Linked DNA regions of Nothobranchius furzeri. The protein of the gene in region 4 interacts with the protein of the main gene of each other region in a biochemical or structural test. Links are inferred from orthologs where the notes say so. Each region holds a gene or a part of one and is shown on either strand. Other genes may lie near its edges. The genes, in order: kif20a, bicd1a, ocrl and ras-related protein Rab-6A.

Region 1 (7,872 bases), about 2.7 Mb from region 4:
CAATCGGGAGCAGCTGATTAACATTGGAAAGGCTGAAATAATACCTCAACTGAAGCCACAAATCCCAAATGAGCTAAAAAGCAAGAAGCGTGGGTGCAGAGCGGGAGCAAAACGGAGATAGAGGAAATTCAAACCATCTCTTCCATCAATCATAATGGGCAATGTGAGATCACTGGCCAACAAGATGGAGGAACTCCAAGCCCTTTCAAGGACTCACCCAGAGGCCTGTGCAGAGCAGCTCTGTGGGATTCTGCAGCACCTCTTCAACCTCAGCCTGGCCCAGGAGAAGGTTCCAGGCCTGTGGAAGACATCCTGCCTTGTTCCAGTTCCAAAGAAAACTCGCTCATCAGTTAATGACGACTACAGACCGGTTCCCCTGACATCCCACATCATGAAGGTCCTGGAAAGATTCCTGTTGGTCCACCTGAATAAGCAAACTAGGACATATCAGGCCCCGCTGCAGTTTGCTTATCGCCATGAGTTGGAGTTGAAGATGCCATCATCCAGCTGCTTCAACCAATCCACTGTCATCTGGACAAAGCAGGCAGCACTGTGAGCGTCATGTTGTTTGATTTCTCCAGTGCATTTAACACACTCCAGCCTGATGTACTTTGCCAGAAACTCCAGAAGACACAGGTGGGGGCCTCAACTATCACCTGGATCAAAGACTACCTGACAAACAGACCACAGTTTGTGAGGCTGAAGAACTGCACATCAAACCAGGCGATCAGTAACATTGGAGCACCACAGGGGACTGTACTCTCACATTCCTTTTTACCCTGTACACCTCAGACTTCCAGTACAAATCAGAGACCTGTCATCTACAGAAATACTCGGATGACTCTGCAGTTGTCAGGTGTATCAGAGATGGACAGGAAGCTGAGTACAGAGAGCTGGTGGAGCGCTTTGTGGCATGGTGTGGAAACAATCATCTGACCTTGAACATGAACAAAACATAGGAGATGATTTTAGACTTCAGAAGAAACAGGGTGGAGTCAAACACTGTTTCCATCATGGGAGAAGAACTGGAGGTGGTTGAGGAACACAAATACCTTGGAGTTCACCTGGACAACAGACTGGACTGGAGAAAGAACAGCGAAGCCGTTTACAAGAATGGACACAGCAGACTGCACTTCTTGGGGACGCTTGGGTCCTTCAATGTCTGTAGCAAGATGCTCCAGATCTTCTACAAATCTGTTGTTGAGAGTGTAATCTCTTCAGCCATCGTCTGTTGGGGTAGCAGCATCAGAAGCAGGGACCTGAAAATGCTCAACAGCCTAATAACAAAGGCTGGTTCTGTTCTGGGGACGACTGTGGAACCGCTGGAGGAGATAATGCAAGGAAGGATTCTCCAGAGAATCAAGAAAATGATGGACAACCCTGAGCATTCTCTTCACAAGACTGTCCGACAACGGAAGAGTGTCTTCAGTCAGAGGCTTCTTCAGTTTCGCTGCAACACTGACCGCTACTGGAGATCCTTCCTGCCAACAGCCATTGTAATATACAACAACTCTTTGATGACTTGATTATTATTATTATTCTGAGCTACTACAGCAATCAATTTCCCTCTGGGATTAATAAAGTATTTTTGAATTGAATAATCAGTCACTTTGACACATATTCACACTTGTTTCATACTGATAGCATTTTCTTTTGCAGTAGAGCATGGCACTGCCCCTGTCTTCCCCGTGTGGATACCCTTTTGAGGAGGAGGAGGAGGAATTACCTGTGTTTGAGTCTACGGTAGCAGAGAACGGCGGGCTGAGCAGACCACGTCTGCCTGAGATATCTGTCATTTCCCCTGGCCTGGACGGTCAGCCACCCCTCACAAGCCAGGTGAGATGGACGAACATACATTAATTCAATTCAGTTTATTTATATAGCGCCAAATCATTACAGTCGTCTCAAGGCACTTCCCAAAGTAATCATTCCAATACAGGTCAGTTCATTAAGCCAATCAGTAAAAAGTTTCCTTTATAAGGAACCAAGCAGATCACATCAAGTCACTGACTAGTGTCAGAGTCTTTACAGCAGTCCTCATGCTAAGCAAGCATGCAGCGACAGTGGGGAGGAAAACTCCCTTTTAACAGGAAGAAACCTCCAGACGATCCTGGCTCAGTATAAGCAGCCATCCGCCCTGACTCACTGGGGATCGAGAAGACAGAGCGCACACACACACACACACCATGTATACCAAGGCAAAAAGCAAAAAGAAGGCAGGAGCACTCAAAGTGACAAAAATGTGTCGAGTTTCTGACGAAGACACAAGCGGGTGTCAAAATTAGCCTTTTTTGTGACGTATTTAGTCACCGAGTGCTCCGGGCTTCTTTTTGCTTTTTTAACACATCATTGTTCTTCGCTGTGGAACATCAACTGGTTACTGTAATATGCACAGAGGATCTCAGAAGTAACATATATACCAAGTACTGTCTCTATGGCTACATTGTGATTTCTTAGTATATATTCTATTTAGTAAAATAAACTTTATTGTCTTTATCCTAGTGACTCTATAATTAACTCAACTGGTGAACTAGTAGTAGCACTTTGTATGTTAAAGAAAGTGAAATGTTATTATCGGGAGATGGAGAATGTTAAAGGGGTTATGTCGTAACAAAACCATTAAATGATGAAACAATAAATCTGTTAATAATTTTATGTTAAATCAGAATGTAGCAGCGAAACCCGGAGACCGTGACGACAGGAACTCAGAGAAGGTGAAGGTTTTTCTGCGTATTCGTCCACTCACTGATTCAGAAAGAGAGAAAGGAGAAGAGCAGGTGAGACGGTGAAGTTATCTTAATGTAACTATCAACTGAGTTTTTAGTTCTCTGCATATATTTGTTGCTGTTTGTGTAAGATTCACTCGTCTTTCAGGGTTGTGTGATGGTCCAAGATGAGGAGACTCTGCTGCTCAAAGCTCCACAGGAGTCTCAGAACATGAGGGCAGCAGAGAGAGGCGTCTCTCAGAGCATCCACAAGTTCAGCTTCTCCAAGGTAAAAAAGCCACAGCTTTACCGGATGCTTGGGAACATTTATTCCCTAATATGAACGTATGTTTAAGATGAATAACATCCTAGTATGTTTATTTACAATCAGTCCACAACAGTTGACCCAGATAGGTTTATTTATGTTTACATTTGTAATATTTTTACAGATTTTTGGTCCGGAGACGACTCAGCAGCAGTTTTACGAGGACACGATGAAGAAGATGGTAACCGATGTTCTTAAAGGAGAGAACAGACTCCTCTACACTTATGGTGTCACCAACTCTGGGAAGACTTACACCATCCAAGGTAGGAGGTGTGGTGTTTGTTGTCAGCTCCGTGATGTGGATGTTTCTACATGATGATCTGACATTTAATGATTTAACCTTAAACATCAACCTTGGACCTGCAGGCAGCGGTCGAGAGACGGGCCTCCTGCCCCGGGCTTTAGTGTCTCTGTTCAGGAAGCTGCAGGGGCGTCTCTATGGCGCCCTGGACCTGAAGCCAGTCATGTGTCAGGATGTGAGGCAGCTCAGCTCCAGTGAGATTAAGATGGAGGAAATACACAGAGACTCTCTTCTGAAAGAGGTAAACACAAAACATCCTTATAGTCCTGAGGAAGACTTTATTTATTTCATTTGCATAATCTTTACCTGTTTTTATGAGTTTAGAGTGAAGTTTGGCTTCTGGTCTGCAAATGAAAGTCCCCAGATGAAAACCGTCTGAATCCATGTTTCACAATGACTTGGCTTATTTTATCAACACTTAAAAGGAATGCATAAAATGCCAAATGGTTGCTCCGAAATACCACTCAGTTCTGCAGCTCTTGAGCTGCAGAAAGATGCAGCTTTAGACGACAGCTAGGTTGAAGGGAATGTTTCTGGAGAGCGGGACTGCAGCCTGTCCAACTCCGTCATCGGGACCGAGTTTTCAGCGGCAAACACAAAGTATTCAAAGCCCACGCGGAGGATTTTCTCGGGACTTGGGGAAACAACAACAGCGAAGAGGATTAACTTTTGCTGAATGCCGTTTTTAAACACTTCTCCCCAAAAGAATTCACTCGAGTGAAAGGTAACAAAGCTGGACTCGTGTTTCATTTGTGTTTTTACAGGATGGGAATCTTTCTTCTCGCCGCGCCGGAACCACGACAGTCTGGGACAGTGGCATCGGAGGACTCTCTACAACTAGCTTCACCACTCAGCCTGAAGGTGAGGCGTTAATCAGACTAAGAAAAGCATCAACCGTTCTGTTAGCCAAAGATTTCATTCCCAGCTCCCCGTCGGTCCCGTTTGCACTTGTATAAAAACATAACTAGAGTTTAAGTCTCAGCTGTGTAACTGATGTGTGTGTGTGTGTGTGTGTGTGTAGATGCTAACACCGTGTGTCTGGAGCCGGACAGTCTGTCCCTCAGTGGGGGGGTGGACCTGGAAGAAGGGGTTCAGTTTTCCATCTGGGTGTCCTTCTATGAGATCTACAACGAGTTCCTTTACGACCTGCTGGAAGCTTCGCCCTCCCAGCAACCCCGAAAGCGAGCGACGCTGCGTCTGAGTGACGACAAGCAGGGCAACCCCTACGTCAAAGGTAATTCAGACTCTTTGCTCCTCTAGTGCAACTGCTTTGGGGCTCTTCTTGGAGAATGGTTTCCATTGATTTCACTTTTATTTGGACACAATACTTGCTACTTTTATAATTTCCTTCTGCTACATCAGATCTGACCTGGATCCAAGTCCGCAGCGCCGAGGAAGCTTGGAGGATTCTGAAGGCTGGACGTCGTAGCCAGAGCTTCGCCAGCACCCACCTGAACCTAAACTCCAGCAGGAGGTGGGCAAACATTAAACTTTTGCTTTGGGAAAACATGTTTAGCAGAAAAGTTACAGATAATTGGCTCGTGATTGGAACTGGCCGGTATTCACGATGATCAGCTTAATGGGTGATTGGCAGATCTGAAGTAAAAAAAATGGCTTTATTATGTTTTGGTCCAGGATTACACCTTTGTGATGCAGCCATACAGACTTGGGAAGTTTCCTGGTGGGTGAACCCGCCATCACCGAGTGCTGAGTCGTGTTAACGATATTTCTAAAGTTGTTGATTTCAAACAGCTCTTTGAGACTAACCAGAATCAGAGTTAAGCTGCACAAAAATAGGAAATCGTTATCGGCCCTAGAAACCAGAATCGGTGCATCTCCGGTATTTAGTCGGACTTTTTGCGTTGCTCATTGTAAAATCATTTCTGATTTTAGCCACAGCGTCTTCTCAGTCCGTGTGCTGCATGTCCGCCCAGAGGCCGCTTCAGGTCAGGCCATGCACATCAGCGAGTAAGTTTACCCTTTATTACTGTAAACTTCACCTGTTTTACTGTAAAAAGTCCTGAAGCTAAGCTCCGTCTGCCCGGCAGACTGACTGTGTGTGATCTGGCCGGGTCTGAGCGCTGTAAGGAGCAGCGTAACGGTGAGCGGATGAAGGAGGCCAACAACATCAACACCTCCCTCCTGACACTGGGGCGCTGCATCGCTGCCTTAAGGCACAACCAGAACAAGTATGCTCCGAACCCGGATGGTTATGCAGTATAATAAAAAAATGCAGTTTCTAAAATCTCCTGGAACTTTTTTAACTCGTCTGCAGGTTGCGACCCCCTCAGGTGGTGCCCTTCAGGGACAGTAAACTGACCCGGGTTCTGCAGGGATTCTTCTGTGGCCGAGGGACCTCCTGCATGGTGGTCAACATTAATCCGTGTGCATCCATCTACGATGAGACCCTCCAGGCACTAAAGTTCTCTGCTATCGCTACCCAGGTAAAAACAAAACACTCCCACACGCCATTAACTTCTGAGTTCAGAGATGAGGCATGTTGTCATTTCAGCTCGTCCACGGCCCGTCCACAAAGACCAGAGTGGCCTACATCCTGTCGCTACTGTGCGAGCCGGCGGCTAACCGTGATGGAAGCACAGTGATGGAGGAAGAAGAGGAGGAAAGTGATGTTGAAGATGGAGATATCACGTTGTTGAATATGGAGGTGTGTTTGAGTTTGCAGACGCGGGATCTCGTAGTGCTTTGTGCACGTTTGGATAAATGCAAACATTCAAGATAAACATGAGTTCAAGGTGCATTTCCATCTACAGCGAGTTGTTCTAACACCCGGTTGTACGTTATTAAGACTCTGCTGCAGGTCATCGATGTGCTGAAGAGAGAAGTGCGCCGCCAGCGAGTGGAGAAGGAAGTCCTGGAGGCTAATGTGAGGGAGGAGGTGGTCTCGGAGGTGATGGTGGTCATGTCTGACATGCGGAAAGGATTCAAGTATGTGTGCTTGGTTTTGTTCTTGCTCTAATGTACGCAGAACCTGCCGTGGCATCATGTTTTAGATGCTTCTGAACTAAATAGTAAACACACAGCTGATCGTCAAGCGAGAAACAAGAGTGACCTGTTTGACATTAAGATGCTAGTCTGTCTTCTTGTCCTGAAGCGAGTCCTTGGAGGCTGAAAGGGCCATAATGGAGGAGAGATGTGAGGACAGGATAGCTAATCTGCAGAAACACCTGAAGATGTTCTACAGCCAGCAGCTTCAGGTGAGGGTTTGGACTTCTTTAAAGCTTTTGTAAGGTCTTCTCTCTAATCCTATCAAAGGTTTGAGGAGAACCTGCTTCCTGTGTTTCTGTAGGAGCGTGATGAAGAGATCAAGGAGTTATCCACTGCCCTTGAACAGGAAAAGAGGAAGCACGAGTCTGTGCCGTCCACGGCCTCTCCTGTGGACTCGGAAGGCCCTCGGCGCTCTCACCGCCTCATGTCTCAGGCCGAACCGAGGCTGCACGCCGAGCTCGATCAGTGTCGCGCTGAACTTGATCAGTGTCGCTCGCAGCTTTTCACAAAGACCCAAGGTCTGGCTGCATGATGCTTTGTGTTCTAGTGTTGGGATGCAGGTGTTAACAATCTCACTCTGCTCGCGTCTGCAGAGCTGACAAAGCTGAAGATGCAGCTAGAAGTTCCAGGTTCAGCTGGCGCCATCACCAGTGCTGCTGACCGCAAGCTGCAGGAGGGCCAGAGGGTCAGTACCATCTTAGGTCTTAACCCTACCCGTGACCCTCATCGCCTTCACGGACAACAAAAATGTCCTTTCCCTTCCAACAGAACCTGCAGAAGCTGCGTCTGGATTTGCAGAGGCTGGGAACCGATCTGCAATCTGGAGAACGAGCTTGTTGTCGTAACACCGGAGGGGAACGGCTGCGTCACACGCTAACGGCAGCAGACGAGACTCTGGCTAAGCAGGTACAACGTGTGAAAACCGAATAAGTTTGTTTCCATTTCTGTTCTGAAGCAGCGCTTTAGTCTCAACATGCAGAAAACCTGGTTAACTAGCCCGGTTCCCGCCTCTTCAGCTGTAGTTTTACTTTCATGCTGATTATAATGTCAGTTCTCATGTTGACCTATGCTCTCTCTCTCTCCCTCTGTCTGCTCTCCTAACACTCCTGCTGCACAGCCAGCTTTAAAACTACATTTAGGTTTCTAACGTCTTCACCAGGTGTTTGCTAAGCTAATCAAAGCATGTAGCATTTTTCCTCCCACTCTTTTCATCCTTCCACCCCCACGATCTCACCCTTCCTCCGCTGTGGTCTGGTCTAACCCTGTTCACTGACTCTTTCTCAGAACCAGATCCTGATGGAGCTCCAGAACAACCTGACTCTGGTCAAGGCAGACTTGAGGCGAAAAGCGGAGACTCTGGCGGGGTGTGCCCAGCTGCCCCCTACGAGCTTCGCCGCTCCCACCACACCTGGTTCCTGCAAAAAGAGAGGCGGCACAGCGACCACCCCAGCTGGAAGCGAAAACCACCCTCCACAGAAACGGCCTTTCTTCCAGTCTCTGTTCCCGCCTCGTAAATACAACACCCGCGTCGCCGA
Region 2 (8,599 bases), on a different chromosome or scaffold from region 4:
AGTGTTTTGACAGGTTGGGGACAAAACGATAGCTCCCTGACTATCTGGCTTTGTTAGTGGATTGTTTTCTCATCAGACGTGATGAATTGATCCTAACGAGTTTCTGTGGTTGAGCAGCAAGCTTTAATCTGTGAAAAACTTTAATTGTCAAATACGGTACACAGTGTTGATAAACTCCAATATTGCTGCTCATCAGCAAGCAGGGGATTTGTTTCCATTCAGGAATTAAAACCAACCTTTAAACCCTTTCTCTGGCTTTCTTTAAACCATTAAAACCTTTTGATAAGTCTGCTTTGATTTATTTGTACATATCAGGATTTGAAGGCACACGCCGTGCCCGCCGGTAGACACTGTGTTATTGCAGAGCATATTTAGGCTTTTTTTTTCATGACACCACACTTCCTTGTAGGAGATAAGATAGAGCCGTGCCATGAAAAGTTCATCTGGTTGACTTTCTGACCACCTCTCCTTATCTTAATTTGGATTTGTAAACCGAGGTTACTCACAGGTCAGCTGAGCCTTAACAAATCAGTTCAAAGGGGGAAATATAAGCTAATGCTAACTGTTTACCTGAGCATTCACCATAAAATAAAGAATATCCGATTGTGTTATGTTTTACATTTTAATGCAGTTGGATGTGTTAAATTCAGCTTCTTCTCTGTAAAACCTACCTTTTGTTAACAAACTCTTGCATGAGCCAATTTTTAAATAATGACCACTTCTAAGAAAGATAGTGAAACACCACCTTCAACATCAATTTAACAACTGATTTGACAGGACCATAACTGATTACAGAGCTGAGAGGACGGTTCAACTTTTCACCCCGCTCATATCACCTTTTATTGCACGGGTGATACGTGTTACTGCAGCTGCACGGGCGTGTCTGAGCAGACAAAAATACAGTAGGTGGTGGGAAGCAACACAAACGCTTGGCCAAAAAAACCACAACTTTATGGAAAAGTGGGCATTGCTGGTATTTCTCTGTGTTAAAAAGTTGCATGTACCTTTTATGAATAACATGTTACCATGCGGGCCTACCCACCAAACAAAATCCTGGCATAATTACTGAAACAAGCTTTTAACCCTTTAATGGAACAAAATTTCATTCTAAACCTTAAAACTTTACATTTACACTTTAACCCTCCCACTGTCCTAATGGGTGTGACCCCGCGGGGTGAGGAGTGAGCACCACCTCACCCCTGCCACGTGGACCTCAAGGGAGAAACCAGCAATCCTGCTCAATGGTCAACCTTCCTCGCGGGGTCACCCATTAGGACAGTGGGAGGGTAAAAAGGCCACAATGCTCCAAATGCTCATTTGGATTAAAGGATGCTATAGTCTCAAATGAATGTTGTTTAAGTTATAATGTAAAAGGAGATTTTGTAATTGGAAACAGTGAAGGTTTATGTTTATCTGTTATTTTATAACCCAACGTGCTGACCGAGGTCGAGGATTTTTTCTTATTGCAGCATAAAAATTCATCTTGATGTAACTTTAGAAACTTTGGTCAGTGTTGCTTTAAAGTCATGCTGGGAAAATAAAGACGAAGGGAGTTTTCTGCCAGACAGTGGTTGAATTTTTGTTCCAAGTTTTTTGTAACCATTACGTAAAATAGTGTAATAAATGTGATGCCTAATATTGAATGTTTTGATGAACTGTGCTGTTTATGTCACACTGTAATAAACTGTTGGCCAGAATAACTTAAAAACTAAAGTTCAACAGCTGCCTTAAAAACTTGAGTCATGTCAACTTAAATAAACACTTTATTTCAACTCTTTCTGTCAAGTTGTAAATAATAAAGTAAATAATAACGATGCTTTGTTTGAATATTATATTGTGAGTCGAAACAACAAATCTTGTTAGGTTACAACGTGGAAAAATCATTTTGTCTTGTTAAACATACACACAATTCTACATTATGTTAACTTATAAATTAGAGTTAGACATGTATGGTTGTCCTTTCAAATTAAAAGTTTGTGTTAACTGAACAAATGGATGAAATGTTTGAACTCATGTTATCAAAACGGCCGCTGCCAGGGTTAGGGTTTAATACAGGCAAACGCTGAAGCAGGAAGCTAACAACACTGAAACATGCCGGCTAACTCACGCCTCACACACACACACGAGGAGCTGAGTCCTGAGCATTTAGCAACAACTACAACTTTAAGTGCAGTTTTGTGAAACGGCATAACGATCTTATTCCTACGACCACCCTCCTCACTTTCAGTGCCAACATGACAACAACAAATAACTCCACCGTTGGAACGCTAAACAAAGCAAAAACTAAGAACAACACAACCGCCCACAATAAATGTGTATAAGCACCTCAAATGGTGTTTATGCACTGAAACAGTGGGCGGGGGCATATCTACAAATTGCAGTTTTAAGTTGACAACGCACAAGAATGAGGAAAATACCATCATCTGTTGAAATAACAAGCACTTTTAAGTTTTCAATATCAAAACACACAAAACTGAGTTTAACAACTAAAACTTATCAGGGAGACTTAAGTGAAATAGGAAAAATAAATTGAAACTACTTTATGAGGCTGTCTTTTTTACAGTGCACAAACCTCTATAATTTTTATCACTGAGTTTCTATCAAGGTGTGGAGATGAGGATGCAAGTGAGCAGTGGGCAAGCAGGTAACTTAAGTTTTAAATAACTATAAGATCAGTACAGGGAATGACACAAACTACAAAAACAGGCTGAGTACCACAGCAGGGGGTAAAATACATGAGGAAGGTGAGAGGAAGGGCAGGTGTGCTGATAGTGATTACAGACAGCTGTGAGGGTTACCAGGGAAATGACATACCAGCTTCTTTTTTTAATAAAAGATCTGATCATCATCCATGCAGCTGACTTGTTTTATGTGCATGTTTGCTATTTTACAAGCATGCCTTCAGCACCAGAAATACAATACCAGTTTATCTCTATACCACATTTAAAATACAGCCTGGGAGCTGCCCAAAGTGCTGCAGATCGATTAAAACCGAATGAAGGCAAAAGCAATGAGGATAAAAATACTGAACATTAGAGATAAAAACAATAAGAACAATAAGAAACACATTAAAACAATAAAACGAGTCTCTGTCTAAAAGCCAGGTCGTAAAATTTGGTCTTTAAATGAATGTAATTTGTGCCAATAAAGTCTTTGGTGCAAATAAAAACAAAGCTTTATTTTTACAAATGTAACCAGAGGGTGGCGCCCTTTGACCCCTGAATATGCAGAAATTATTTGCTGTGTCAGAAAAAAGGTTGACCTTGTTTTGATTTTGAAGGTTTCATCTGTTTCACGTCATTTCTTTTCTGATTAAACCCAAATAATTTTGGTTTTAGTTGCTTCTCTTCACTCTCCGGGGGAGGAGGAGGAGGAGGAGGAGGAGGTGGAGGGGGAGGAGGAGGTGGAGGGGGAGGAGGGGGAGGAGGGGGAGGAGGAGGAGGAGGAGGTGGAGGAGGGGGAGGAGGAGGAGGAGGAGGAGGAGGAGGTGGAGGGGGAGGAGGAGGAGGAGGAGGAGGAGGAGGAGGAGGAGGGGGAGGAGGAGGAGGAGGGCGGATACTCAGCATCTCTCAGCCTCCGCCCGTCTCTCCCTCTCTTCCTCTCACTGGTTCTGTCTCCGCCCGAGACGAGTGACCGGGGAGGACCGCAGACCTGCAGGAGGTCCAGATCCAAAAGCCTGCGAGAAAGGGGGGGGAGGCGATGGCTGCCGGTGCGGGGCGCGGGGAATCGGTGGATCAGTACCGGGCCGACGTCGAGAGGCTCACGCACGAGCTGGCCGAAGCCAACCGGGAGAAGATCCGGGCTGCGGAGTGCGGTCTGGCAGTCCTGGAGGAGAACCAGGCGCTGAAGCAGAAGTATGCAGAGCTAGAAACGGACCAGGAGACTCTCCGGAAGGAGCTGGAGCAGTTACAGGAGGTAGGAGTTGGTCTCCTTATCCCAGCGACTTCAGACAGTGAGAGGATGGAAGCGCAGTGCGGCCAGCTGCGACCTCTCTTGGCAGGCTGGCTGCGGGTGAAGCGGTGCGGCATCCAGGGAGGAGCAGGCAGGAAGCGGTGTCAGCTGGAAGGGGGTAACGCTCTGATACCACAATAATGCATTATATCATATAATGGGTTAGGGTTAATTACATAATTTATATATAGAAAAATATCAACTTTATCTGGGAAATAAATGACATTTTATGTGCTGTTCTGTGCAACTCCTCACCTCAAGAGGCTGTTTCTATTTAGAAGACTTGTACATTTTAGGAAATCCTTAATGTTACGTATTATTTATTAAAAAATAAAAATAAAACAGTTTGGATCTTCATATTTGTGCAAATATAAATAAGGATGCAAGGCCAAAACGCTTATTTTATTTATTTCCGAGAAACGGTCACGTTTGGTGTGTTTACACTGGAGAAAAGTGCTGCGGGAGTCATCCTGACTAATGAATGCTGGGTGTGCTTATTGCTACATTCACTCATTATGGCGACATGGATCTGTTTATAGTAACAAGATGCTGATGCTGACAACGCCTCACAGTTCAAGGTTATGCAGAGCCAAAAAGCCATTGAGGCTCCATCTGAGACCCGTCAGTGTTTACGGACAAGCATCAGTGTTGCTGTGAAGGGTTGTTCAAATAAATGGAAATTTGTGTTTGGCTGAATATTTCTGCTGTTCTGTTGACGCACATATGCAATCATGGAGAGTCTGATTAGTCGTCTTCATATTAGCTTGTAAGGTTCATGCATGTTTTATTCCAAGTTTCCTGCATTTGCTTGTTGATCTAACGGATGCTTACTGCCGTTGATGTCCACACCCAGTTTGCACAAAGGACTAAAGCACGTAGAGTTGTGAGAGGTGTCCAGACACAGAGAGGAAACTGTGGGTGTTGTAACCAAAATCATTGCAATATTTAAAAAATAGTCAATATGTTTTTATGCAGCTCAAATGAATATTTATTTGGAGCTAAAACAGAAGATTGCACAATAGTTTTGTTTTTGTTTTCAGGCTGAATTTAAAATGTTTGTGCCTGTGTTAATCACACTCACATGTGCTTGTGCTGCACTTATTCTAATTTATTGAATAATATTAGCAGACCTACTTGTCCAATAATGATCTTCGTTAAGTCTGTTCACTAATCTTTCATCTAAGGAACTGGATTCCTCCTGGGTCCATGTGGCCCAGACGTTTATGTTCAATCCCTTTTTTAAAGTGTTGTTGGAAACTTTGCATCCTAAACAGTATTTAAAACCCCAAAACTAACAACACGAGGCCATGATTTCAACTGTTCTATGCAACTATGATAGCCATACAGTAAATGACTATTTTCATACGTCATCTGATTCTCACGTGGATCTGTTTTCATGCTTATTTTTGAGTTTTGGTCTTGGTTTGCAGTGAAGAGAGACTCGAGTTAGAGGCTGTCAAGATGAGACAAAACAACAAAAAGTCCCTGGCTTTGGTGACTGTAAAGAGACACAATGGTCTTCACCACACAGGGACTTTTATGTCCGTCAGTCATCGTTCACTCACAGAAAACATGTTTTTGCTTTTCATCCCTTTCATATCTGACTTGAGCTTCAGCCTCTTGTCTGTCCTCTGCTCAGATCTGTGTCCGCCGGCCGGCCTGTCTGAGTGCCTGTCACATATTTCCATGGATTTGAGAGCGGATGCCCGAGCAAACCTTCCACTATAATAGCATCATTTCAGCTCTCCCTGCACTCTGGAGAGGTGCCTCATCCAAACTGAAGATGGGAAATGGAATGACCTTTGGGATGGGAGGGAATATCACGTCTCATAATGCAGGAGAGCTGTTCTTTGTTTCAAAAAGACTTCATCTTTTAGCAACCACGCAGTGTGACATCATAGTTGCAGGTGTAAACTAGTTACCTTAGCGTTCATGCTGCTGCTGTGTGTGCTACTGGTTCTGTTTCTGTCCAGATGCCAGACGGTGGGGCCGAGACACATCTGAGTGACTCAGCTGCTTTATGAAACAGGTTCTATGAGTTATGTGAGGCACGCCAACAAAACCATTCAATCCTAGTCCGTGCAAATGTTGTTTATCTTTTTGTTGCCTGCAGGGCCCCAGCTGAAAACAGAAAGCTCAAATGGTGCTTTTGTATTGTTGATTCTCCTCTTCACTCCCATCTCTTTTGCTCTCGGCTTTATGGCCAAATCATGCTCTCATTTCTTGCATCCCAGCATGTGCGCACTGTGTGTGTCTGGATAGCTGCCTAAGCAGAGACAGAAACACCCCATCCCCCTGGTCCGGGCTGGTTATCGCTGTCTCCAGGCAGATCAACCTCTCCCTGGACAGAGTAGGATGCTGCTGGAGGCGGTTGGAACAAGTTTCGTGGTCTGAGCTGCATCTTAAAAGCGTTCCAGCCTTTAAAGGAAAACAGTTTCTCTCTAGAGCTCATGTTTGGTTTCTTTTTTTAAAGCTGTCATAGTGCGTGTTTTCAGTTCTTTTCAATATGAAGTTCTCATGCAAACAGACGTTCGATGTTTCTGACAGCTGAAGCAAAGGACGTCACTTCAGTTGGAGCGCTCCAAAACCGTGAGAACAAACGACAAATGACCGAAGGACTGAAGATGTTTATGTGAAATTGCTCATTGAAAAAACTCAGATGTGGTGCTTTAAGGTCGTTTTGTAAATAGGACACCTGATTAACACATTAAGAGTAGACGCCTAGCTATTTTTACCCACGTCTGATTAAAGGACACTTTATGTGTGTCTGGGAACCCCGGTGGGTTGAGGCCATCACAGGGAGGCTGTAAATCAGTTTGCTGTCACTAGGGAGAAAGAACCCATTACAGGTTGTTTCTTCTCTCCTCCTCCGTCTCCTTTCAGCTCCTCTTGTGTTGCAGGTGGGGTTGGAAGGAGAACCATAAACATGGAGAAGCTGAATCGATGCATCATCTTTTTTCCTCTAAACCTTCACCTCACCATCTCCGGTTACCTCGCTCCCTCTTTTTCCTCCTCCCCTCTGATCCCCCTGCAGTGAAGTGGTAATCATGCATTGATTTCTGCTCTGCTTGGTGATCAAGTATCATGTCAGAGCTGAGCTGCTCTCTATTGTGGATGATGCAGCTCACACTGTACATGTTGATGCAAAGACATCTGACAGAAGTGAATGCCTTCACAGTGAATTAATAATAATAATAATGCATTGAACTTATGTAGCGCTTTTCAAGACACCCAAAGACGCTTTCACACACTGCCAGTGATGGTAAGCTACTTGTTCTGTTCTGGTCCTGCTGGACCTGACTGCAGCCTTTGACACTGTTGACCATCACCTGCTACTGGAGAGGCTGAGAGACTGGGTAGGCCTATCAGGATCTGCTCTGGAGTGGTTCTCCTCTTATCTCTCTGAGCGCTCCTTCTCTGTGGCCGTCTCCAAGTTTAGGTCCTTCACCACCTCTCTTACCCATGGTGTCCCACAAGGTTCTGTGCTGGGGCCTCTGCTCTTCCTCCTCTATCTGCTTCCTCTTCAGCACATCCTGAGCTCCTTCAAAGGAATCTCCCACCATCTTTATGCAGATGACATCCAACTGTACATCTCCTTTAAGCCCCATGAGATGTCTAAGCTGCAGCTGTTACACACCTGCTTAGACTCTATCAGAACCTGGATGGTGGGAGCTTTCTTCAGCTGAATGAAGATAAGACTGAGATCCTCATCTGTGCCCCAGACAAGCTGGTTCCCAAAGTCAGAGACTCTCTTGGTCAGCTTGCTTCTCACACCAAACCCTCTGTCAGGAATCTTGGCGTGACCTTTGACCCAGCTCTCACCCTGGATTCTCATGTCAGTTCTCTTGTTGGCTCTTCCTTCTTCCATCTCAGGAACGTTGCTAAGCTGAGTCCCATTCTGTCCCGCTCTGAACGTGAGACAGTTCTCCACACCTTCATCTCCTCCCACTTAGACTACTGTAACTCTCTTTTCACGTGTCTGAGCAGAACCTCCCTGAACCGTCTACAGGTGGTTCAGAACGCCTGTGCTCGGCTTCTGACCAAGTCCTCCAAACACACCCACATCACCCCGCTTCTCCTCCAGCTTCACTGGCTGCCAGTCAACTTCAGGGTTCATTTCAAGATCCTGGTTCTGGTCTATAGGGCCTTACATGGACAAGCACCATCTTACATTGGTGATCTTCTTAGTCCCTACACCCCCAGCAGGTCCCTGAGGTCCAGTGACCAAAGCCTACTGGTTGTGCAGCACCAGGCTAAAGGTCAAAGGTGACAGATCATCTGCTGCTGTGGCCCCCAGACTCTGGACCTCTCTCCCCCTGAGCCTGAGATCAGTGGACTCAGTGGTCTCCTTTAAAAAGCAGCTGAAGACTCACTTGTTCAAGCTGGCTTTTGTATGACCTTCTTCACCTCTCTCTCTTTATTCTGCTCTCCCCACCTATTCCACCTTCCTCAGGATCCACTGGTTTCCCTCTTTCCTGTTCACTCTCTCTCTTTCTTAACATTTTTTCTTTTAAATCGCAATTGCCTATTTTTGCTCATTTTAAATATATTTTTTAAACATTTTCTAAATGCTTTTTTATATTTTTACATTTATTTATTATTTTTTGTTTTTATTTTTGTGAAGCGCCTCGTGATTTTTTTCTTGAGA
Region 3 (6,731 bases), on a different chromosome or scaffold from region 4:
AGATCAAGGATGTCTTATTTTTTTGAGCAGTGTATTTTATAGAGTAAAGTATTCCATATTCTTGTTTTGGTGATACCATTCTCCACATAATTGCCCTCATGGTGCCCTCCATTTTTCCATGTGTTCATGAGCAGCTTGAGTAGCTGTAGTTATTTTTGGACCTCTCTCCTGAGTGCCGAGGATTCATTTGCAGAAACCAGTAGAACCTGATACCCAGCTCACATTCAAGCCCTCTCGGAGATTAACTTGACCTCGCTGTTGTTCCATCAATAAGTGTTCGCATGATCCCCTTTTATTGTTTATTTTTACACTTTTGTCAAACTGCATGAATCTTGTTGTATAATCACAATGCTGCAACATTATATAATTATTTTGATCATAATAGAGTTGTGTTAAACATTATTTTCTGCTAATCAGGAAAAGTCCAAGGTGACCTTTCTGATGGCTGATGGAGCAAGTTCTGACGACATACCTTTGAAGATCCCCAAGGAGGTGTGGGTCCTGGTTAACCACCTTTACAAAAACTCCTGTGATCAGGTGAGAAAACTAAAACCGATTTGAAAAAGCCAAAAAGGAATGTAGCATATTGCTAAATCAGCTTTTACAAAACCATAGTTTTATAAAGGCATTTTCAGCTTCAATTATCTTTTATTTTTGTGACATTTTTATTTGCATTTACTATTTATTTTTGTATATAAATAAAATGTATGTACTTAACTTAAATGTCAGCAATTCATACATGACACAGAACTTGTGGTAATAATGTGGTATTAGAATAAACTAAATCAAAGGTTTTGTGTTCATTCTATAAAAAACACATTCTTCAGATGAAACAAAGCATCACAAGTTTGAATGTGCATATATTTCACTATGTGGCTATAACACAAAGCAAAGATAACATTTATTTAGATTATACAGATTTGTCACACAGAATGAACCTTTTTTAAATGAGGATTTCTGAATGCGTTATCTGAACTGTGACTGACCTTTCCTTTATATTTGTTGTGTAATATCTGAAAAGCAGCTAATAGCCGCTGTTATAGATATGGGTATGTTTCCAACTTGTGGATGGATCCCAGAAGTGTAGCATCACTCAGCAAAATTTACCTTTTGGGTCTAGTTTTTATGCACTGCGCTTCCAGAACGTGTCAAGCTCAACAGTTTAGGTTGGGCCAGACAGGAAGTTAAAGGTGGAATATGGAACACAAACACCAATGTGACATCTAGTGTGTGGAGATTTTAGTTGCAGCAGTAGAACAAGATTTCCAGCCGTCTGGATACCAGTTTTGCTGCTGATACATGAAATGTTGTATTTGGGTCTATTTATTGGAGGCTTCACCTAAACTCACTCTGGTTTATGCTTCTTTCACACTAACATCGGCTCCACAACGCCCGAATAGCCCCAGTCAGCCCCAGCCCAGCTTGGCCCAGTTGATTCCACACATCCTTGCTTAAGAATGCAAGGAGTGCAGTCAGAGAAGTTCTCAGCTCCTAGGTAATCAGCATGATAATGCCCAAAGCCCAGGTGGGCTGATTCTACCCACCAATCGGACACTTCTCCTAATGGAAGGTGTGAATTTGAGCCGGCTTATCAGTTAGCAGTGGGTGTGCTGGCCCTGATCATCCTGAAGCAGACCACCTCAGGAAGAGGGCTGAAAAACAGTCTGGTTGCACCCTGAAAAAAAGCAGGCTATGCTAATGCGAACACTCTATGCTATTCAGACCACGTGGAGCTGATGCTAGTGCGAAAGGGCTTTAGATCTTTTGTGAAGGACAACAATCTTCTTGGCTCAGAAGCATTTGTTTGACTTGGTGAGTCCACCATTTTCCACAATGCCAGCCTCTCTGTGCCGAGCAGACTGTTTGGCAACCTGCAGTAGTGCCCTCTAATGGCTGGTAGATGTAAACATAAACCCAGTGTCTTCATAATAAATGTTCAATTTTTTTAAAATAAAAAAATGCAAAAAACGCGCCTGTTACACTACACGGTGCTTAAGCATTGAGTGGAAAGCCAGGGTTTGGCTGAGGTACATTTTTGTGCATTGAAATCCAGATAGTGATGTAATTTGACTGAAATGAATGTGTGGATGATGCCAACTGGAGTGAGAATGCATTTAGTGTAAATGTTCCTTGTTGGTTTCCAGGAGGACCTGTTTCAGACACCAGGCTTACAGGAGGAGCTGCAGAGCATCATTGACTGTCTTGACACCAGCATCCCAGACTCCCTACGTATCCTCCACTGTTCAGCCAGTCCAGAGACATGATTGCATTTTGTCCTTTATTTAATTTTTGTTGAAAATCTCAAGGAGCTGAACCAAATAAAAAACCACAAACCGATATTAAAATAAAACAGGTAGCATAATTTATAATAAAGAAAGCCCAGCTTGGGGTTTAATCTTAAGTGATGCAAGATTCTCCAGAGGTTACATCTAAGCTCTAATCACAACACCCAAATGACTCATGCTACATTACAGTACATGACATTTGTGTTTTGTGGTTGTGGACTCACTGGAATCCATGAAAACTGGCTCTTCCCTGACTGTTCCTGTAGCTGGCTGTAACCACTCTGTAGCCGAGGCTCTGCTGATCTTCCTGGAGGCGCTGCCGGAGCCCGTGTTGTGTTACGAACTCTACCAACGGTGCCTGGACTGTTCTCATGACAGCCGCCTCTGCAAACAGGTGGAGTCATTTCACAAACATGTACTGTGAAAGTTAGATGAGATCTATTTGTAATAATTTAGTGGTGTTTTATGTTTCTGCTTTGATGTTTAGTTAATCTCCCAGTTGCCTCGAGCTCACCGCAACGTGTTTCGCTACCTGATGGCATTTCTGAGAGAACTCCTCAAACACTCCACCAATAACAATCTAACGGCTAGCCTTGTTGGTGAGTACTGGACATTTTTGTCTCATTTGTCTACCACACTGCAGAGTAGATCAAAGGTTCGTTAAAGCAATAAGTATATTAAAGAAAGTCTGGTTATTATTATTAAAATGACCATATCAATATGAGAATCGATTACTTTCATTTATTACATTACAGAATTAAACAAAACTATTCTATAATATTTATTCCTGCGTTTCAGCTACCCTCTTTGCCAGTCTCCTCATTCGACCACCTCCTAACCTGATGAGCAGGCAGACGTCACATGATCGACAAAAAGCCATCGACTTCATTCTGGGTTTCCTCATGGCGAGAGATGAGGAATAACCAAGGCTGAGGATTCCCCGTGGTGCCGATAGGGCTGGAGCGGATTCTCAGCATGGCAGTCGACCCGGACCTGTGTTGCACTAAGTGTTTCAGACTTATTTTTGTGTCATCTGTTGGAGACCAGTGCACCCTCCGTTTGATCATCTGATATCTGAGGTACCGAAGACTTTCATTTGAAACTGTGTCATATCTTCAGTTGGTACATGGGGTGACCCGATGCTGGATGTGGAAACTGTTGGGAGAAGATGTCTGAACTGAGGCCTGTGCACTTTCTAATGACATAAAGGATGTGTAACCCCCCCGACCGGTCCTTGCTCTCAGCTCTTCTAGGTGCTCATGCCAAAATCTCAGTAGTGAGAGTTGTGAATGCAATAACACTATGTACACTGTAATAAATGACATTAACTTAACCAAGTAATGTCAGCTAGTTCCAATAAACCTCGTCGCTAAAATGTAGAGTAATGTACATTAGGTTTAGTGTTGACACAACTTGCTTAAGTAAATTCAACATTTCAGTTCTTGGAGCTTTCCCATAAAGGCTAAACAAAAGATTTACTTACTCTAAAGACAGGAATAGTATGTCCTTAAAGCTGTAGTTAGTTAGAATAATGTATGAGCAAGTACGTGTTTCAAACCCTCAAGTGGTTTTAGAGCATCCTGTCACTGAGAATCTCTATGCTTTAGATAAATCATGACAATCATTTGTTGCTGCAACAGTAAGATACTTTAAGTTCACGAATCTGTACTTTTTAAACAGCTATTTAAGTGTTTTTCAAAGTTTGCACCATTTTAGCAGTTTTTTTTTCCTTTTCTTATTTTTTTGTTTTTGCTGTCGTTAGGTGAGTTTTTGTACCCACATTAGTTAAAAACCACATCAGTTTTACCACCCACTTAAAGAAAAGTGTCTGCAAATGTTTTCAGTGTTTTGTCAAACCCTCTTGAGTAATGGCAGAAGTCAGTTAACACACTGATTCCCTGGTTAACCGGAATCAGAAGCGGTCCACCCTCTTGTTGTTTTTAATTTTTTCATGTCTTAAACTATGTAAATAGTCAACGTTTCGTGACTGTGTGGTGGTTTGACCCTGTGATGGTGTCTGTTGTGATGGCGGTACTGTTTGTTTGTTTACATGTGTTCTTCCTCACATCCGCTACACCTGAAAACTCATCTGTCTGTGTTTTTCTTGCACCTGTGTGCAGCCCTGGTGCTGTGTAAAGCTCTTAAGTGCTGCAGGATTTTTGAGGAGGAGACTAAACACAATGTCATGGATCATTGCTCTTCTCATGTCTGCTCTTCTTTCTGACCTGCACCACAGATTCTAAAGTTTTCTGTAGCTACTGTTATGTAACACACGCAGTTATAGAAATAAGGAACTCTTTCTGCTGTGTTTACAGGATATTTCCTCTTTAAACGTTTGACTCAACAGATGCAGCAGTTAGTTTTCACAATTTGTCCTGCCTGCTTCATTTAACCGTATTAATAGCTGAAGGATTCTTTTGCTGATGGTTTAGAAATCCAGAAGCATTTCATTTTATGAAGCCACCACAATATGGAAAATGAAAATGCTGAGGATTATAGTAAGTTGTTAAAATCCTCCTAGGACCTTAATTAATTTTCTTATTTGGATTTTCGTTTGTCTACCTGAAGTCAACACACTAAAATCCTCTGTTGGATGTATTTAAGCTGAGATTTGCCAAAGATGGCTGGAGCCTGTGAGTTTGTATGTGTTGTTGATGATTAAACATTTGGGAGAAACCATTTTGCAGCAAATCTGTTTACTTTGTCTTCATAGATGCAAACGAAACATAAATATAATCAACAGCTTCTGATTTTAGGTGTTAGTTCACACAGCTGTACCCTGGTGTGGACTTCTGTTTGGAAGGACAGTGAAACAAATGTTTTCCACTTAGCAGATTTTTGGAACTCTTAATTTATTTAAAGAAATAAAATAATGTACAGAGCCATGGTGTGTGTCTTTATCTTTACTTCCTTTGGAAAGTCTTCATAACAACGGTCTTGTGGATTTAACAGTTTACTTCTCAGGAACAAGTGAAATCCCTCCTGGCTGATGATGGTTCTATAGTTGGTCTGCTTCACCTCTCTGCTACATTCTCATTCCCCGTGATTATAAAACCTGCCACACAGCTGCTGTCGTCATTTTTCTGTTGTGTTTTATCCTGAATCTATCAGACATTATGGCAATGCTCAGGGTGTCTTCTTACCGCAAGCTGTTTGAGGATGAAAGCTGGAGTAGAGACGTGGGTTTGAGTTCACGGTGTGCAGGACGGTACCGGGCCTCTGCCAGGTCAGTGCAGGTCACACGTATTTTTCCAAGATTGGCTCAAATCTTATCTTGGAAATCAAATCTTGCATTAGATATTAGATCAAATGTGTTCGAATTAGTTTTATTAGTACTTGTGTTCTTGCTTTTGAATAGTTAAACTGGTTTTAAACAGATATTTTTACATTTGTCAGCAAGTTAATTGCATAAAACCCAATTTTAGATTTTCTCCTAGAATTAAACAGGTATCCACAGCAGAAATAATTAAGTTTTTGAACAAAATCTTAAAGGGGACATATTACGACTATTTTCTTAAGATATAAAAGCTCTATGGTTGAAATATGTTTCAGTAATTCTTTGCTTTTAATTTCTCTTGCATCAACTGATTTCAGCTGTTTTATTTTTAACATTTTCAGGACCTTTCAGAATGAGCCGTTTTAGGGCTCTGTCACTTTAAGAAAAGACGCTGGAGTTGGCCACACCCACCCATCCCCTACTCAGGTTGTTAAAAGCTAAGAAGCTCCAACATTAGGAGGGGGCTTAAAGTAGAGCCGCTGCTCCTCAAGCAGCAGCTGCTCTCTTTCACATGAGAGGTGCTTCTATTATAATTTCTTCGTTTGTGACATCACAAACGGGGACTTTTTGAAATGGCTCATTTTAGGCACATCATTTCATAAACCAGACACTGAAAGGAAACAAATGAGTTTTTTATGTTTGGAGTTTTTATAGAGGTAGTAGAGAAAAATCTAAACAACTAAACCCTCATTTTAACTTTCCAGTAATCAACAGGAAGAATAAATGAAGTGCAAACACCTGAGGGAGGATTGATTGTAAAATATTGGCACCTCTTGCTCAAATGGAAAGGTGTCAGGACCAGAAATGCACCAGAAAATTAAAAAGACCCTTTAAACATTGTTTTAACTTAAGCCCAGTTTATGATCATGTAAATCTTTTTTTTTTCCAGAGATGCAGCTGTTCACAAGCGCGACTGTATAAATGTAGACTTTGAAGCTTCCAAAGCTCTGAACAAAGAGGGTCTGAGTCGGTTTGTCCAGGAACGCTCATCCCTCGCTTCCCTCAACGACCGTCTGGTTCAACTAATTGAACTGGTGAGGAAAAACCACCAGAGCTACCAAACAAATCAGTCCTTCTGCTGTGTCATGCTCTGTTACATCTACATCTGCAGGCTCATTGTTTTGAGGAGGAGAACAAGGCTCTGGAAAGTGAGATCGCTGAACTGGACG
Region 4 (8,394 bases):
CGTCCTTGCATTGTGGTTCTTTGCCTTTGCTGCACCCCTGCTGCTCTAACCTAAACACACACCACATACAGCTGATCTTCCTTGGCTCACCTTAGCCAACAGCACTGTAAACACACACACACACTTTCACACAGCGACAGCTCTGAATCCCTCTCTCCCACTTCCTACAGAGGACTGCAGATCCAGACCAGCACACAAAGCTCCTGCCTGCTAAATGTCACTTCATGACTGGAGGAATGGTTGCTCTCTCGGAGCTCCGAGCACTACACAGACCTGTAAAAACCTGCACACACATACATACGCTCAGAGCCGCGTGCACAAACATGCTGCCATCCAGGTCCTCAGTAATAAATCAGCTGCCTTGCTGCATCCAGCGAGAATTAACCAAAGCACTTTGCTGCAGACCTGCTGTCCTCTTTCGTCCTACTGGCAGATTTCAGCACACTCCGATGCCCAGAGTCATGTCTGCTGCAGGGAGCAGGGATGAAAAGCTGTCCTGTAAAACCTATTTCTGGGCTCCATCATCCAGCATCCCCCTTTCTGCCTCCCCCCTCTCTCTCTCTCGCTCCACCTCCGTTCTCTTCCTCCTTCCCCTCTCTCCCCCGTTCCGGTTTGTTTGGATCTCAGTCCTGCCAGCTACCTCTGTCTCAATGGTCGGTCCCCATCTCTGCTCTCAGAGCTCTGTGCTCTCCTCTCTGTCCCTGTGCCTCTTCCTCGCTCATCGCTCTATCTCTGTCACACTCTGTGAGCATGCAACACCCCCCTCCCTCCTCCCTCCCCATCATCTCAGAGATCTGCTCCCTCTCATCTCTCTCCCTCTTTCACTCCCTCCCTTTCGTCTTCTCGCCTCCTCTGGTAAATGTGCTTGGATTGCTACCCTGATCGCTGCTTCACTTATGCTTGCAAGACTCCCTCCTGCTGTACTGCTGCACCTGTCTCAGGCTGACGCTGAACAGGGCGAATCTGAGATCTAACCGCACCTCCTGGCGTGTCTCAGCAACCCTTTGTTCCGGGACCTCAGCCGTGTTTCATGTTCACTTCAAATGATCTCTTCCTCTTTTAACCTCCTGGAGGAGAATCAGAGGAACTCTTCCATCACATCCACTATTTATCTCCTCACCTTTGTCTATCTTACTGTACTGAGTACAAAAACACACCTATTTGATCCTCACCCAACCTTAATGCCCTTTCTGTATTTCCTCTCATCGTGTTTCTCAGTTCCCCCACCCACCCTACATGCAAGCCTCCATGCTCTCTCTCGCTCCCTCTCAGGAGAAATGAGCAATGTATTGTACTTTGCAGTGACATTGAAAGCTGCATTCATTGGATTTATGTTAAGGTTGAGAGGAAGTATGCTGGTCCTCCACCATTACGCCCACAGATGCAGGCAAACGTACGGTGTGCAGTCAACACACTCACAGCCGCAAGACAAATACATCTGCATTCCTTCCACTAAAGCCCAGGGGAGAGGGTGATTAAACTAAAGAAAGAATCACAAAGTTGCTTCCCGAGATGTGAGTCATAGTAATAAGGCTTTCCCTTTCAGGACGCTGAGCCAAGTTCTGCAGAAGTAAACGACGCAGGGTGCAGCACAGCAATGTGAAGTCCTGGCTACAGAGCATGTCCTTGAGCTTTTATGGAAAATTCAAAATTATATTAAAGTGGATTCTCAAAGAAAAATGATGAAGTGAAGCCATTTTCCATAACCTTCCCTCCAAATGTGAACGCGGTAAAGATGAAGAGAGACTGGGGGGGACATAGATCTACCGAGATTTTGCCAGATCAGCATCTTCAGCAGGGGGACTGTGGAAAGGAGGGGTGGGGGTATTTTCCTTACCAAGGACATAAGGCGTAGGAGTGCTAAAGCAAAGAGGGGGATCAGTGGAGTGTGATGGCTTTGGTTTGGCAGAAGCAGAGCAGCTGAAGCGCTGGCATCAGCCAAACGGCACTCCGGGAATGGGACATGAATGAGAAGGGGCGCAGGTGTGTGTCTTCTCTTCAGTGACCTAGAAGGGTTAGCTAAAGCAGGCACAAAAATACCGCAGACTTTAACTCCACTGTAGGGATCCAGAATTTGGATATTTTTACATTTTTTCAAGTCAAATGTTGATTTCCCTTTTAAGGTTGTGTAATCTCACTAAATTACAACATCTCCTACTCTGAAACATTACAAAGGCCATGAAGGGACTTTGATTAGTGTTCTGACCTCTAAAACGTTCATGACGTGTTGTAACAAGGGAGGAAATGAGGATATCAAAAATGATTGTTAATGAATGAGAGTTGTGTTGAGTTTCAGGAGAGCACAGGTGTGTTAACAAGGGCTGCATTCCATTTAGAAGTGCTGTGTGAACCAGCTGCAGGATGGGAATGCAGTTCTGCTTTTCTTGCGAGGCCAATTGCATGAATTAAACAAGAATCAGACCCATTTTTATGAACATTTGCAACAAAATGAAACTTGTACTTTCACTCTGACACCCATCTCTGCATAGGGAGCTAAAGAGAGTCACCTTGTAAATTGCCAGAGGGCTTCATAACAGCTGTCGTCCTACAAGCTGGAGGTCACCAGCTGTAAAGGCTCCTGTAAACAACAGAATCAGATGACAGTTTAAAAACGTGTCAGACAAAGCCGGCTCCACAAAGTTCTACTATCACACCTACATCCTGTTAAACGTGATCTAATTTTTGTTAATGCCAAATAATTAATGCCAGTTGATTTTATGTTGAAAGGCTGCCAGCAAGTGCTGCCATCACTATAGTGACTATAAAACCACACATGTTAATCCTGCAGTGATGTCTCAAAATAGTCCACCCTGAGCAAAGACAAGTGACATTATTCAAGCATCAACAAGGCTGATGATCAGAAAAGTGCACACCAAAATAATGCACTCTCTTCCAAAATATATTGTAATTTAAATTTTTGATCTAACCTTTAGGTCTCCTTTGACCCCAATTAGTGACCCAAGTGTTGCTAATTAGCATTTTTGTTAAAAGCACTATTTGCAGCACAGATCTTGCTCGTTTTCCTAGTCTTTGTATTTACCTCATCAAATTAACTTGAGCAAATTAAACTGAAAACATTAGGTGTAACTAGGATGAAATAGCAAAATTTGCAAGAAAATAGTTGAGACAGATTTGTTGACTAAAATTTATTAAAGAATAAACTTATGGAGACTGTATCATACCGTGGTGATAAACACAACCACAGGACAGACCAGGTTCTTCAGAACAGCTCATAATAATTAGATTAAAATCTAAATTGCTTAGTGTGTGAAATGTCTGCAGTGGTGTGAGCCCGCCCTCTTGTGGACATATGAACATAAAACATGTGTCCAACACGAAACCCATGTTTTACGTTTCCAGATTTGTTTAAATTCTACAGTTAATCTAGAAATTATATATGAATGTAATCATAATAAATCCGTATTCTGCATGGTATAATCCAGCTATCATCTTCTTGCTGTTGAATTGTTTTCAGTTGTCATTGTTGTTTGTTTTTGTTTCACCGCTAGATGGCAGCATAACGGTTCGGCTGTAACAGCAAATACGGCGCGAAGAAGAAGTGGCCCGGTGTAGTTCGCTGATCTGCTGGACTGAGGCTAACTTGGTAGTAGTAGTCACAGAGTTGTAAAATAGTATATTAACGCTAAGAGGGGTGGTTACAGAACAGCACACATCAACAAGTGGACAGGTTTAAAGGCTGGCACACGAATTCCGGACCTTTAAATAGTGAGAACAGCTGCTTAGCTATCATTTAGCAGGCTAGCTGGAGAGTTTCTGAAGAGGATTGTCGGGTTCGTTTGATCCAGTCATGTCTACGGCCGGAGACTTCGGAAACCCTTTAAGAAAATTTAAACTGGTCTTTCTTGGGGAACAGAGTGGTAAGTTTCTCACTGGCTGGGAGAAATAAAAACTTAACTATATTTAAACTTGGTTTCCTTAGGATGTATAGTTGAGTTACTCCGGTGTTTAACGCCAGTCAGTTAGCCTGCTAACATTAGCTGCAAATCGTAATACTTGTTAAATTGCGACACAGTTGATGTCGTCTTGTCCACGCTGGCTCCGGCGTTCACTCTCACCTAGATGACTCATGATCGTGGAAATGGACTTGTTCACCAGGTCACTAACCGCAGTGGGCTCGAATACCAGCGTCAGTGACGTATGAAGTTTCATTTAGAAGAACACGGGTCAGTTTTAAGTGGCAAAAGTAGTAAAACGTTCGGTTTGATTATAAATACTTTCCTTTATGACGCTGCTACAGTGTTTTATCATTGTTTATTAACTAGCATTCCCAGCTTTAGTGTGTAAACGTAACAATGATTACATTCATCATCTTTTTTCCTACCCTTGGGGCACTTACCATAATCCAAACCTGCCTGGTCACATTCCTACACTCCCCCATTGACCTTTGTTCCAGTCAGGGTTCACAAACAATCTGCCCCAAAACTGAAAGATGTTTGCGGTACTCTGAACAGTGTAGTGCTGTTATTAGGTTAAGTACATGTATTTCCCTCAAGCTTTAGCTAAAACACCACTGTGTGAGCTTAATTTGGGGTTTCAGGTTGGTTTGGTTTAGCTGAACCAAGTCTTTTCTGTTCTTATGCAAGCTGTTGGTGACCCATTATAACAGAACTTCATGTAAAAGCTTTCTTTTTTTTATAATCATGAATATGTTTCTGATATAAAACCTTTCTGGAGATGAATTTATGCAGGAAAAAGACGATGTCAAACAAATGATGGCTTCTTATGTTTCTTGTTAACCTCTATGAAAATTTAGGTCCTTTTATTATCAAAAATGTTCTTATTTTTAAGTTTTTAACACATTTAAATGCTTCATCCCATGTTCACGGTCCAGTCTGCTTTGCATTACTTTCTGGGAATGAATAATATAGCCATATATTAGGGCTGCACAATATATCGTAAATATATCGTTATCGCGATATCAGCATGAGCAATATGCATATCGCAAAGAACATAAAAATATCGCATTGAATGGTCAGCTCAAATGTTTGCTTCACATAATGTGTTCTGTCAATCAGAAACATGATGTTTTTTTAAACAAATCAAAAAGAGCTCTTCACCCATTTGGCCAATCAGGTGGGATCTCATAGTTTAGGTGCCCGCCCCCGAGGCAAACGGCACATAATTTTAATGGTTAGCAAACACAGTTAGCTTTTTTCTGCTCTTTCTGCTGATTCTGCCTTTCCCGGGATCCACTGATCGCCTTTTCTTGATCGTTTTCTTTTTCCTTTTCCTCACATCTTTTGCGTTTCTCATTTTTATGATTTTTTTATTTCTTTGTTTTTGATTATTTTTGTTCCTGAATTAAGTTTTTATTTATCGAAAGTAATATCGTCATCGCAATATTAATCACTGATATCGAATATTGCAGGTTTCCCTAATATCGTGCAGCCCTACCATGTAGATTTTCCGAATAAACTCAAATCATCAAAGGAATGAGCTGCAAACAAATTTCCCTCTAATCTCTAATTTCCCTTTGGGATTCATAAAGCATTTTTGAATTTGAATGTACACACAAGCCCTTAGAGAGCCTTTTTCTTTGGTATGTCTGATGGTCTTCACTGCAACACTCACTTTCCTTTAGGGTGAGAACAAGACATTCTACAAAATCTGACCTTTCCTTATCATTCGGTACATTTATTTCCACGTGGCACAGCCTTTAATGGGACTCATCCAGATAAGGCAGACAGATATTGTGTTTGCTCATCTGTAATCAGCGGTTGGTCCTTGCTGCTGTGTTGGCTTCAGCTGTGTCACCGTCACTTGATGCACGCTGTAACCGATATTGTAACTCGAGCTCGACACAGAAACGGTCTGAGGCCGAGGAGCTCAGCCCCAGATCTCAAACCAACATGAATCCACTCAGCAGCAAATGTTCTCCACAAAAATACCCCAGATATACAGTATACTCCACTCAACCTTTACTTATACAGCGCCGTTCACAGAAATAAAATTCACAAAGTGCTTCACTGTAGATCTAACAATAAAAAGTAACATCAAGATATTAACAATAAAATTTTATTTATAGTATATAAAGTACTTTATGAATTGTTTACATATGCCAGATGTTACTTTAATAACTTTTAATTTATGAAATGTGAACAAAAACTTGAAGCTGTAATTTTATTACATTTGTGACAACGTGTCATTTTCTTTTGGGCTTTAGGTCATCATTGTGTTTTCTTGTGGAAGAAAACTCGATTCATTTATTTTAATTTGGTTTCATAAATATTCTGATGTTTTTAATCAATGAACTTATGTTCAATATTTGTCAAAAACTTTTATTTTGGTCATTTTGAAATATTTAGTCCTTTGTTTGTGTTTCAGTGGGAAAGACTTCATTGATCACCCGGTTTATGTATGACAGCTTTGATAACACATATCAGGTGAGTTCACCTATTCTTTGATTATAATTATGCTGATTGATGCTGACTAAAGGTAATTTTCCCCATTTGTTGTCAGGCAACAATAGGAATAGATTTCCTTTCAAAGACCATGTACCTCGAAGACAGAACAGTAAGTTTATTTTCATCTCCTGTAGGGTTTGGGTTGGTAAAGAATCTGTGTGTTTTCTCCACCAAACACACACACACACTCAGGGCTGGTTTTTCTCTCTAATGTGATTATGGTGCCATTTAGCTTCACTGTTTGTACCAAGTTTTCTCCCTCTTCTTCCCACCTCTGCATTAATCCATCATCACATTTTAAAACAGAAAACTTTACCCTGACGAGTGAAGGGTGACTTTTTCTTTCCCCTCCAGGCCCAGACAGCTTTTCTACCTGCATGCACTACTCCCTCTGTCTCTGTTTTCCCTTCAGCCATACTTTATTTGTTCTTCTTTCAGTTTGCTTGTCATCACATAAACTTAGCTTGTTTGTCTTTTTTTTTTATTTATTCCATTGTCTCTGTTTTATTAGATTTTATTTCTTTATTCTTTGTTCCATCCTCTTCCTGCCCTACAGATTCGGTTGCAGCTGTGGGACACGGCGGGGCAGGAGCGATTTCGCAGCCTGATCCCAAGTTACATCAGAGACTCGGCTGCTGCTGTCGTAGTTTACGACATCACAAGTAGGTGATGCCACATCTGGAAATAAAACACATCCTCATACATCCGCTGTTATTGTAATGTCTTCTTGTCGCTCATTCCTTTGATTTTTAGGCTTTCTCTTCCTGAGTAGTGATGCTCTGCTTCCTGTTTGGTTTCCTTTTAGATGTCAACTCTTTCCAGCAAACTACAAAGTGGATCGATGATGTGAGAACGGAGAGAGGAAGTGATGTCATTATTATGTTGGTGGGAAACAAGACAGATCTTGCAGACAAAAGGTAAGTTTTAAACCAGCTCAAATCACTGCTTCCATTTAAACACCAGCCTACCACCAGCCGATCTGCAGCGGAACAAGTTCTCTCTTCTCTTCGTTGATGTCATTTGTGATGATTGTTTTCTGATTTACGTCTGTCTAGTTGATGCTTTCGGTCTTCCTGTTTCTTTTTTTGTTGCATCTTTTAACTTCCTTATCTACCACAGGCAAGTATCTATTGAAGAGGGTGAGCGGAAAGCCAAAGAACTAAATGTAATGTTTATTGAGACTAGTGCGAAAGCAGGCTACAATGTCAAGCAGGTAAGGATGTGTGTGAGCCGTGCTCTGTAGTCCTGCTGCAGACGCTGCACACCGAGCTTCAGGACCAAAAGTCTCCCGCTCCGATCAGACCAGATGAAGAAGTCAACTTAAATAACAAAGGAGTTTTAATCAAAGTTGTGCAAATAGCTGTGAGATTGTTTTTCATTTCCTGTCTTGGTTTTCAGGGAATTTTGATACCTTTTAGAATTGTTGATTTAGGGTTAGAAATGAACATTTGTACCAAGCTCTCCTTTATTAACCTAAACAGCAAAAACCTGATCATGACCAGAAAATAGTGAAGGAATTTTATTTAAATAACAAGTTCAATTAAACTTTTATCCACTCAAATAATGTTTTATTTCCCACAGATGTTGTTGCGTTGTTTTAATTTGACTAGCATGTAAATTATTCTCTGACTCCATTGGCGTGCACATTCATATTCATAGTTTTCTTTAGACTTTTTTTTTTATTAACAAGCTTTACAGTCAGTTGGTTTATAATCTTTTTTTTTTTAATAAATGTAGGTGACTTTAGAGCAGAAGTCTGATGTAGTTTTGAGCATTTTTGGCACAGTGTGATCAACTTTATCTCCTTAAAGGAGAATCCTCCTTTTGCTCAGGGGTTTTCTGGGGGTGCGTTCACAAGCATTAGAGCTGCATGTAGAAGCCACAAATATTAAAGATGGCTGGGAGGCTTTTGGTCTGAGGTAAGGTGGCAGTAGCAGCAGGGAGGAGCACGGCTTGTTGATGTGCTTCA

What was found.
Region 1: the proteins of ras-related protein Rab-6A (region 4) and kif20a form a complex in vitro, tested with the Homo sapiens proteins (2 studies listed by BioGRID). The link is inferred for Nothobranchius furzeri from reciprocal best matches to the Homo sapiens genes RAB6A and KIF20A.
Region 2: the proteins of ras-related protein Rab-6A (region 4) and bicd1a form a complex in vitro, tested with the Homo sapiens proteins (3 studies listed by BioGRID). The link is inferred for Nothobranchius furzeri from reciprocal best matches to the Homo sapiens genes RAB6A and BICD1.
Region 3: the proteins of ras-related protein Rab-6A (region 4) and ocrl form a complex in vitro, tested with the Homo sapiens proteins (2 studies listed by BioGRID and IntAct, with this or other methods). The link is inferred for Nothobranchius furzeri from reciprocal best matches to the Homo sapiens genes RAB6A and OCRL.

What each region holds. Positions count from the first base shown.
Region 1 is NC_091750.1:46,179,038-46,186,909, forward strand, and holds part of kif20a (kinesin-like protein KIF20A), read left to right. Parts: intron 1-1,659; 5' UTR 1,660-1,665; coding exon 1,666-1,836; intron 1,837-2,666; coding exon 2,667-2,777; intron 2,778-2,874; coding exon 2,875-2,994; intron 2,995-3,154; coding exon 3,155-3,293; intron 3,294-3,396; coding exon 3,397-3,572; intron 3,573-4,095; coding exon 4,096-4,192; intron 4,193-4,352; coding exon 4,353-4,565; intron 4,566-4,693; coding exon 4,694-4,805; intron 4,806-5,224; coding exon 5,225-5,299; intron 5,300-5,379; coding exon 5,380-5,520; intron 5,521-5,606; coding exon 5,607-5,775; intron 5,776-5,843; coding exon 5,844-5,996; intron 5,997-6,137; coding exon 6,138-6,277; intron 6,278-6,443; coding exon 6,444-6,546; intron 6,547-6,638; coding exon 6,639-6,855; intron 6,856-6,930; coding exon 6,931-7,022; intron 7,023-7,105; coding exon 7,106-7,243; intron 7,244-7,621; coding exon 7,622-7,872. UniProt on the Homo sapiens protein: Mitotic kinesin required for chromosome passenger complex (CPC)-mediated cytokinesis. Following phosphorylation by PLK1, involved in recruitment of PLK1 to the central spindle. Interacts with guanosine triphosphate (GTP)-bound forms of RAB6A and RAB6B.
Region 2 is NC_091744.1:88,313,095-88,321,693, reverse strand, and holds the start of bicd1a (protein bicaudal D homolog 1), read left to right. Parts: upstream 1-3,602; 5' UTR 3,603-3,699; coding exon 3,700-3,915; intron 3,916-8,599. Other genes in the region: intestine-specific homeobox-like, read left to right, coding at 1-32. UniProt on the Homo sapiens protein: Regulates coat complex coatomer protein I (COPI)-independent Golgi-endoplasmic reticulum transport by recruiting the dynein-dynactin motor complex.
Region 3 is NC_091741.1:85,267,260-85,273,990, forward strand, and holds the end of ocrl (inositol polyphosphate 5-phosphatase OCRL), read left to right. Parts: intron 1-417; coding exon 418-537; intron 538-2,144; coding exon 2,145-2,229; intron 2,230-2,551; coding exon 2,552-2,679; intron 2,680-2,772; coding exon 2,773-2,884; intron 2,885-3,083; coding exon 3,084-3,208; 3' UTR 3,209-3,425; downstream 3,426-6,731. Other genes in the region: vimr2 (vimentin), read left to right, coding at 5,402-5,511, 6,452-6,596, 6,674-6,731. UniProt on the Homo sapiens protein: Catalyzes the hydrolysis of the 5-position phosphate of phosphatidylinositol 4,5-bisphosphate (PtdIns(4,5)P2) and phosphatidylinositol-3,4,5-bisphosphate (PtdIns(3,4,5)P3), with the greatest catalytic activity towards PtdIns(4,5)P2.
Region 4 is NC_091750.1:48,852,200-48,860,593, forward strand, and holds the start of ras-related protein Rab-6A, read left to right. Parts: upstream 1-3,533; 5' UTR 3,534-3,808; coding exon 3,809-3,878; intron 3,879-6,345; coding exon 6,346-6,404; intron 6,405-6,480; coding exon 6,481-6,534; intron 6,535-6,981; coding exon 6,982-7,087; intron 7,088-7,230; coding exon 7,231-7,342; intron 7,343-7,544; coding exon of another isoform or gene 7,545-7,638; intron 7,639-8,394. UniProt on the Homo sapiens protein: The small GTPases Rab are key regulators of intracellular membrane trafficking, from the formation of transport vesicles to their fusion with membranes.